Linked DNA regions of Ovis aries. The protein of the gene in region 2 purifies or fractionates together with the protein of the main gene of each other region. This does not show direct contact. Links are inferred from orthologs where the notes say so. Each region holds a gene or a part of one and is shown on either strand. Other genes may lie near its edges. The genes, in order: DNMBP and DNM2.

Region 1 (3,807 bases), on a different chromosome or scaffold from region 2:
AGGCAGATAACAACTATTATCTCTATGTTAGATAAGGAAGCTGAAGCCTAGGTTGGGTAAGTTGCCAAGGTCACAATGCACTTGAGTGTCTGAAGTCAGTCTGGCTCCGAACAGGGTGGAAAGGCTCAGCCTGACCCAAGTTTAGATTCAGGCTCCATCAAAAACGTGATGTTAAGATTTGGGCAGGTCACAATGTCACTGGACCCCATCTTCCTTCTTCGTAAAATAAGTGAGCCTCGCTGGCCTGTAAGCTTTCTCTCCAGAGTCTACCTTTCACCCACGTTCTCTATTCCTTAACAGCCTCAGGCAACTGCTTCATGGGCACCCCCTTGGCCAGCGCTCCTGCTACTTCTCCCTCCCAACACCCAACCTGGCTTGAGCTGCGGTCTGACTCTATGTTAGCTCAGCACTAGTGCATCAGTTTCCGCATCTATAATGGCTGCGAAATACTTACCTCTCAAGAATTCCCAGCTCTTCTGTTCTGCTAGGATTTACTGCACGAAATGGCTTAAAATGCAGCATGGACGTATTTTGAGTATAGAGTGTTTCTGCTGAAATCATATTTGAAAAGGAATTCCTGACCTGAGTTTCTTCACTTAAGCCTCTCCCATTTCTTAAAATCTGAGCATCACTGAATCGTCAAGAAGGTACCCCCAGAAACATAAGAAGGTTCAGGCTAAACCAGGAAGAAAATCAAGAAAACATACTTATGGCCCTTGAAATGCTTTTATTTATAAAATAACTACTTAAATATAAACATCTCTAGGTATAAACACTATTCACGAGATACTTTTGCGTTGCTGCCTTCTGATTGACCAGCAGACCCCGGGGTGGCCAAGGAGCCCCCGGGTGTCTCCTGACTCATGACTTTAAGGTGAAGGTGCATTTGGAGGAGCAAGGGCTGTAAGCTGTTCTTTATGCCCTTTCTTGCAAGACAAAATTCATGATTTCCTGTTCCAAGGCAGGCTTTCAATCTGGGGCAGACCTTAAGAATAAGAGCCCTGCTCACATACAAACTTCAGGGGGGAATCTTAGTGTTAGGATCAGGAAACATCTTCCTGAGGTGGAGGAGGTACAATCAGGCACTTTAGATTCTGTTTGGCTTAGACCACGGTCTCTGAAGCACGGGGGCTGATGAAACAGAGAACGCTTATTTCCAACTCTAGGATAAGCTACTTCTGGACTGTTTACCCAGATTCAAATGAGATAAACGTGCATTATGGTCTCTTCATCTGTGGACAGTAGTGTGGAGGAAGGGGAGAGGCATCCAGCCTCCCTCTGGGCTGGACTGGCTTCAGCCCACTGCAGAATGAATCCCCCAAAGGGAACAGTGGGAGCTCCGATCCCGTTCTCTCAAGAAAGTCTATCAGCTATTCAGCTTCAGGAAAGAAGCCAGGAAAAATTACTGTACACAGACAGTATAGAGATGGTGTCAGCAAGGTGTGGAGGATAGCACCTAATGGGAAATGAACCTTTCATGTCAAAGTTCAGGGGAAAGGAAGATTCTAAACATTTTTTAAGAGGAGAAAGAAGTACTAGGTTGGCCAGAAAGTTCGTCTGGGATTTTCCATTGGATCTTACAAAAAAACCCAAATGAACATTTTTAGCTGACTCAATAGTTGAATTTTGCCCAATCTGGAAATGTGGTGAAATAAATAAGAAAAAGATTACAGATGGCAGTGTTTTAGGGATGTTTAGAAATAAGGGGTGTGTGTGCAAATATGTGCCAGACACTGAGGTTTTGAAACATCAGATTTGGTACAATGTTGACAAACTTCTTGCCACATGCAGAGGCACAGCCTGAAAGGGCTCCCAGAGAATTCATCCAAGTTGGTTTCCAGTCAGTTGATCACGGAGCATGGGGCCACCCCACTCAATATGGCACAACCAACATCAACTTCTTCTAATGCTATAGCACAGCTTCTAGCATATACTGGATACTGGTCTTCTGATTGGAAATTTCTCATTTCCAAAGGCTGACCCCAGGACTTGCTTCTCTTTTCACGGTCACTGAATCACTTGCAAGCACCAAGGTCCATTTCAAATTCTAGAGATTCTAGTGAGCATCAAGGCTGACAACCCAATCAAAGAGAACAAGACTTATGCACCACTGTGCCACAATTAAGCAATGTGGCAGGGCTAGTGTCTCAGGAGCAGGAGCCCTCTTGGTGGATACCAGAACCCTTCAGCAGAAGGAAGTGAAGGCAGCAAGATTGAGTGGGAAGCAGAACAGGCTCAGGTGTACTCAGCTTTGCGGATATAATTGGATGGAACGTAACCCTTTTTCCCATTGACTTCAGCTAACCACCATTCTGTATTTCCTGTAACATCTTTAAACTCTAGGATCTTGAGTCTCTGATTGGCTGACACACTCAGCTCATTTGGGTTCCGTGCCTTGAAGGTATAGACAGCAAAATAGACCTATGAGAGGGAGAGAAAGTGAGTTAGGAAATGGGAAACATCTGAAAGCAAAGCTACCCAACAGAACTTCCCAGGGTGATGGGTACCGTCTGTATCTGGACCATCCAATTTGGCAGCCCCTAGACACACGGCAGCTGAGCACTTGAAATAACAGCCAGTGAGGTGAAAGGACTTAATTTAAAATTTTAACTTTACCTAACTTAAATGTAAATTAAATATGGCTGAAGGCTACCATAATGAATAGGACAGCTTTAAAGAAAACCAAAATTCACTTACTCTTTCAGAGTTGCCTTAAAAGGGGAAAAAAAGCTTCAGCCAGTAAGGAAGATAGATGAGACATGAGGATGCTCTTTCATACACAGAAATTCTGTATTTAAAAATCTTTACAAAACAACAAAAAACCCACATCTAATCCCAAAGGAAGAAAGGGTGCTCACTAGGTGCCCATAACAGGGCTAGCATGCAAAGTGAGGGTGGTGGTCAGTGATCAGGAGGAGGAACCATGAGGCCCGCAGGGACACAGTGAACACACACCCAAGGGTGCTCAAGGGCTGGAGCTGATGAGGCCAGAACGGAGACCCTTGCACAAAGTCAGAATCTCAGAAAGGGTCATTTCCTGGTCCATGTCCACCAGCCCGCTGGTGGGCCAGAGCTGGGGCGTGTGTCCTGGGCTTGTCAGAACCACAGAGAGCTCGCCAACAAAGGTAAGACACACTTGGAGACTCACTGCTGCAAGTGAGCAAGGGCAGGTGGCCAGGGATTCCTCAGCTGTGGATGTGAAAGTGGCTTTAAAATATGTAGGTTTAAAATGTTTATGATACAAAGAAGGGGCCATTACAAAAAGAACGGGAAAAACTGAAACAGAATCAGAACTCTATTCCTGAATTCTAGAAATTTAGTTACTTGAATGAGAAGCTAAGTAGATGAGTTAAACAGCAGACTTTATACCAATGGAAGAATCATTGGAAGTGCATTGGAAGAGTGTGAAAAGCTTCATGGTGACACTTGGTAAACGCCCCACAACACTACAGCCTGCGAAATCAGCCACCGGAGGTCCAGAAGACTGGGGCTGCCCACTCTCACAGCAGTGAGCTTCTGGAAATCCTTTAAGGATTTATCTGTGGGCCCATCTCCAGGGTCACCCCCAGCCGGGTCAGGCCTCGCCCACTCCTGAGCGCTCATCACCTGCATCCACACGCAGCGCAGTAACCATGGAAACCGAGCGCACTCACCTGGTTGCCTTCCGCCTCGCTACTCTCTGGCTGTTCATGTCTGTCATCCAGAGACAGTGCTGTTCTTGCGCCTGCTTTTAGGAGGTCTCGACCCTGCCCGTTACGCCCTGACATGGAGGAACCAACCATTTCTGGATGCCTGCAGTTTCGGGAG
Region 2 (4,246 bases):
TATCTCCTCAATTTTGTGTGTCAGTTGCTCAGTCATGTCCGACTCTGCGACCCCATGGACTGTAGCCCACCAGGCTCCTCTGTCCAAGGGATTCTCCAGGCAAGAGTACTGGAGTGGGTTGCCATTTCCTTCTCCATGTACCTTGCTTCCCCCCAACCTTTCTCTTAGTATACTGTATCTCAAATTGTTTACACTTTAGTACATGAAAATTTACTCAATTTTGTTTATGGATTATAAACAGTATTTACTTAATGAGCTCCATGGATGAGCAGTTAGGGTATTTCAAGTTTCTGCCACCGTAGTCAAGGCTGCAGTGCCAAACACTGTCAGTCTTGTTGCTTGTCTCTGAGACCTGCAGTTCTGGGTCATGAAGAAGGCAATTCCACTCTGCCATTCTTTCACCCCTTGTTTCTCCATTCCCCTGTTACTGCCTGGCCCAGTCAGACTACTTCCCCACCTCCTTTGCTCCTAACTCCTTACTGAGCTACTTCTCTCTGGCTTAGTTTTCTGAATGTTGAGCTTTAAGCCAACTTTTTCACTCTCCACTTTCACTTTCATCAAGAGGCTTTTTCTTTCCTCTTCACTTTCTGCCATAAGGGTGGTGTCATCTGCATATCAAAGTATATTTGGACCTTCAAAATATGTTGGGACCCCGCGCAGGGAGCTGATTTGCAAGCTCGCGGCTAAGATGCATTTTGAGACTTGTAGTTTTCTTTAGAGCCCAGAAACACAAGTGACTATCAGCACTGAGTCCTACCACTAGGCGGCGCGCGTTGCCGCGTACTGTGAACCTATCCTCTGCTCCAGAAGACCCTACTTGACATACAACATTCACAAACTAGAACGGGGCGGGGGAGGTTTTTTGATGGACAGATACAGCTTTCAATCAGAGTCAAGATTTAGAAGTTAAATCCCACCCTCTTTGACTTGTTGGGTGATAGAAGGGAGTGATATTTATATAAACCAATGGGAAAATTTTAGGGAACTAAATAGAGTCAAGCGAAGAACCGATCCCTAGTATCATTGGCCAGCCTTGTTGATTGGTGGGTCTGCTTGCCAATAAGACTGGCGGATGTTCCTTCTATCCGGGAACACCCCCTAGTAGGCGGGGCCAACATGCCTTTTCCCGAAACACCGCCTCCCGGCCGAGACAACTCGCTTGCCGCTGCTATTGGCTCTTGCACAATAGCGACAGTTCTTGCGCCCAATGAATCAGAGAATAGGCCCCAGGGGGCGGGCTCATTCGGCAATCGGCCCGTGCCTCACTTTCATTGGTTTGTGTGCAGAAGTGACAGCCCAGCCGGCCAATCGGAGTTAGTGCGAGGATTTTTGGCGCAGCCCCAGGGCTCCGGCGGGAGGTCGGTCGGGTCGGGTGTCGCTTGAGAACCGGATGAGGCGGCGACCGTGAGGCCGAGCCGGGAGCGGGCGTCGCGCCGAGGCCCGGGCGGGCGGGGAGCAACGGCCGCGGACGCCGCGGGGCCGCGTCGTTGAGGGACAGGGGCGGGCGAGGAGCGCGGGTCGCTCGGGCCGGGGCCACCGGCGCCATGGGCAACCGCGGGATGGAAGAGCTGATCCCGCTGGTCAACAAGCTGCAGGATGCCTTCAGTTCCATCGGCCAGAGCTGCCACCTGGACCTGCCGCAGATCGCCGTGGTGGGCGGCCAGAGCGCCGGCAAGAGCTCTGTGCTCGAGAACTTCGTGGGCCGGTGAGCGAGCTCGGTGGCGACGGCGGGCGGGCGGCGGCCTACGGCGCGGAGGGCGGACTGGGAATGGCGCGCCCTGCGCCGCCGGCGTAACTGCGGCGCTTGCGTGCCCGCGACCGGGACGGGGACAGGGGGGCGGGCCCTGTGGGACGCCCTGAGTGGAGGGCTCCCTGTAGGGGCTGGGGAGCCGGCCCAGACCTAAGGGGTGTCCCACGCGCTGGGGGGCGTGGGCCAGGAAGTGCAGTGCAAGACCTCTGACTCTCTGGCCCCCAGCTCTAGTGGGTGAATTCTACCATCTGGTTGTCTGTCTGTCCTGAACCTGTCTCCTGGATATTTACTGGGCCGATCCCCGTGGTCTGGCCGGCTGCTCATTGATTTGGAGCAGTTCCTGTCGTCTGGCTTGCTGTCTCTCTGTCCTGGATAGGCTTCCCCGCCACCACCATTTGGCTGTCCATCTGTCCAGGACCGCAGGGCAGCTCCCTGCTGCCTGGCTAGCTAGCCAGAAGGCCCTGTCCTGTCTGGTTGCCCATCCGTGCCCCTCACAGACTTAGCTCTTCCTCTGTTGGGTTACCCAGCTGGCCTGTGCTGTCTGACTGGCTGGCTGGACCCTGGGAGACCCTGTTGTCTGGCTCTCCTGGGCTGCCTCTTCAACTTGGTGCCTGGCGAACGCTGGCTCCTCGCTTCCAAGTGGATCCTTTTGTCTCTGTGTCATGGTGTCAGTCCTTCTCGTCTCCCTGACCCCACTTCTGGGCAGGGGATGAGAGGAGCTTGCAGAAGAGAAGGGGGCTGAAGGGTGAGACTTGAACTCCTCTCCTTTGAATTGGAAGTAGGACCCTGGGGGGCAGACATTTTCCAGGAGTCTTTCCTGGCCCATGTCAGGTTGCCTGCAGGGCCCTGGAACATGGGGACCAGCCCCCAAGCCAAAGCCTGCATGGTGGGGATCCTCCTTGGATCCTGAGAGGAACTTCTGGCCCGATCAGGCTGCAGTGGCAAAAGCTTGGATATAGCCTTCCCTGGGAAGCCCCGAGAAGTTTCAGTTTGCCCATCTGTCCAGTGGACAAATTCCACTCTGGGCTGTTTCCAGGATTCACAAAGCCAATGGAGGAGAATGGGCCCTGTGGCCACTGAGGGTGGTTACCTCTCCCCTCTCCTCCCCCCACCTCTTTTCCTTCTGCCTCCCAGATGGGGGGCCACTTCTGCATTCTGGGAAGGACTCCATTTGCGACTGCGGCTGCCAGATGATAACGTCATGGCGGTTGGTAGTTTACTCGTGAAGTCCTGTGTCTGACTCTTTGTGACCCCATGGACTGTAGCCCACCAGGCCTTCTGGTCCATGGTATTTCCCAAGCAAGAATACTGGAATGGGTTAGCATTTCCTCCTCCAGGGGATCATCCCGACCCAGGGATTGAACATGTGTCTCCTGCATTGCTGGCAGATTCTTTACCGCTCAGCCAGCAGGGAAGCCCTGATAACGTCATAGTCATCATCATGTTCATATTGTTGTTGTTATCAGTGTTAAAGAGGTTCATCCAGCAGCCCCCAAGCTGACTTCTCTCTTGGTTCAGCTCAGAAAAGACTTGCTGTTTGCCCAAGGCCACCAGGCTGGCGCTCAGTGGAGCCCAGCTGGGTGCTCAGCCCCGCCCCGCCTTCACAGTGGCCTAGGGTTTTGCTCCCAGCGGCATGAATTTCCTCCTTTGCTGCTGTGTCCCTGGCGAAATGCCCTCTTTCTACTGTGGCGGAAAGGTGTGGACTTGGGATCAGCCCAGGCTGGGTCCCCTGCTTGGCCATCCTCCTGCCTACCCAGGCTTCCGGTGGGTGTCTGCAAAGCTCTGTCCATTTCATCTGCCTCGTGACCTTGCACAGGTTGTTTGACCTCTCTGAGCCTCAGTTTTCCCACCAGAAAAAGGGCTAATGGACCCTTAACAGGACTTGCAAGGATGTAGTGACACGGTGTGTTAAAAGTGCTTACTTAGCATAGTGCCTGGCACCTAGTGGGTCTCCTTGGAGGGTGCTGTTGCTCACTAGGCTGGTTCCGTTGTGGGTGTGTGTATGCTTAGTTGCTCAGTCGTGTCAGCTCTTTGTGAGTCTGGACTGTAGCCCTCAGGCTTCTCTGTCAGTGGGATTTCCCAGGCCAGGATACTGGAGTGGGTTGCTATTTCTTTCTCCAGGGGATCTTCCCTACCCAGGGATCAACCCTAGGTCTCCTGCTTTGCAGGTGGGTTCTTTACTGGCTGAGCCACCAGGGAAGCCCCGGTTCCTTTCATATCAATAACCAAAGCTAGTCAGAATTAAAGTGCTCTGAAGTTACACATTGGACTTTACTGAAGCCTCATGAGGCTGGCACCGCTATGATCCCATTTTCTAGAGCACAAAACTGAGGCCCAAAGAGCTGAGCATTCTTACAAGAGGTTGTTCAGTGAAGGATCAAGGTCTCTGGGTTGGGGAAACCCAGGGTCTCTCTCCCATCCCCACCTCTCATCGATCCCTCTGTCCCTCACTGTTCCCTCCCAGCCACCCTGGAACCTGGTGACTGCCAGCTGCTA

Evidence for each region.
Region 1: the proteins of DNM2 (region 2) and DNMBP purify together in Homo sapiens (co-immunoprecipitation; 3 studies listed by BioGRID and IntAct, with this or other methods). This does not show direct contact. The link is inferred for Ovis aries from reciprocal best matches to the Homo sapiens genes DNM2 and DNMBP.

What each region holds. Positions count from the first base shown.
Region 1 is NC_056075.1:20,617,634-20,621,440, forward strand, and holds the end of DNMBP (dynamin-binding protein), read right to left. Parts: coding exon 3,654-3,807; intron 2,422-3,653; coding exon 2,236-2,421; 3' UTR 708-2,235; downstream 1-707. UniProt on the Homo sapiens protein: Plays a critical role as a guanine nucleotide exchange factor (GEF) for CDC42 in several intracellular processes associated with the actin and microtubule cytoskeleton.
Region 2 is NC_056058.1:13,045,484-13,049,729, forward strand, and holds the start of DNM2 (dynamin-2), read left to right. Parts: upstream 1-1,381; 5' UTR 1,382-1,544; coding exon 1,545-1,705; intron 1,706-4,246. UniProt on the Homo sapiens protein: Catalyzes the hydrolysis of GTP and utilizes this energy to mediate vesicle scission at plasma membrane during endocytosis and filament remodeling at many actin structures during organization of the actin cytoskeleton.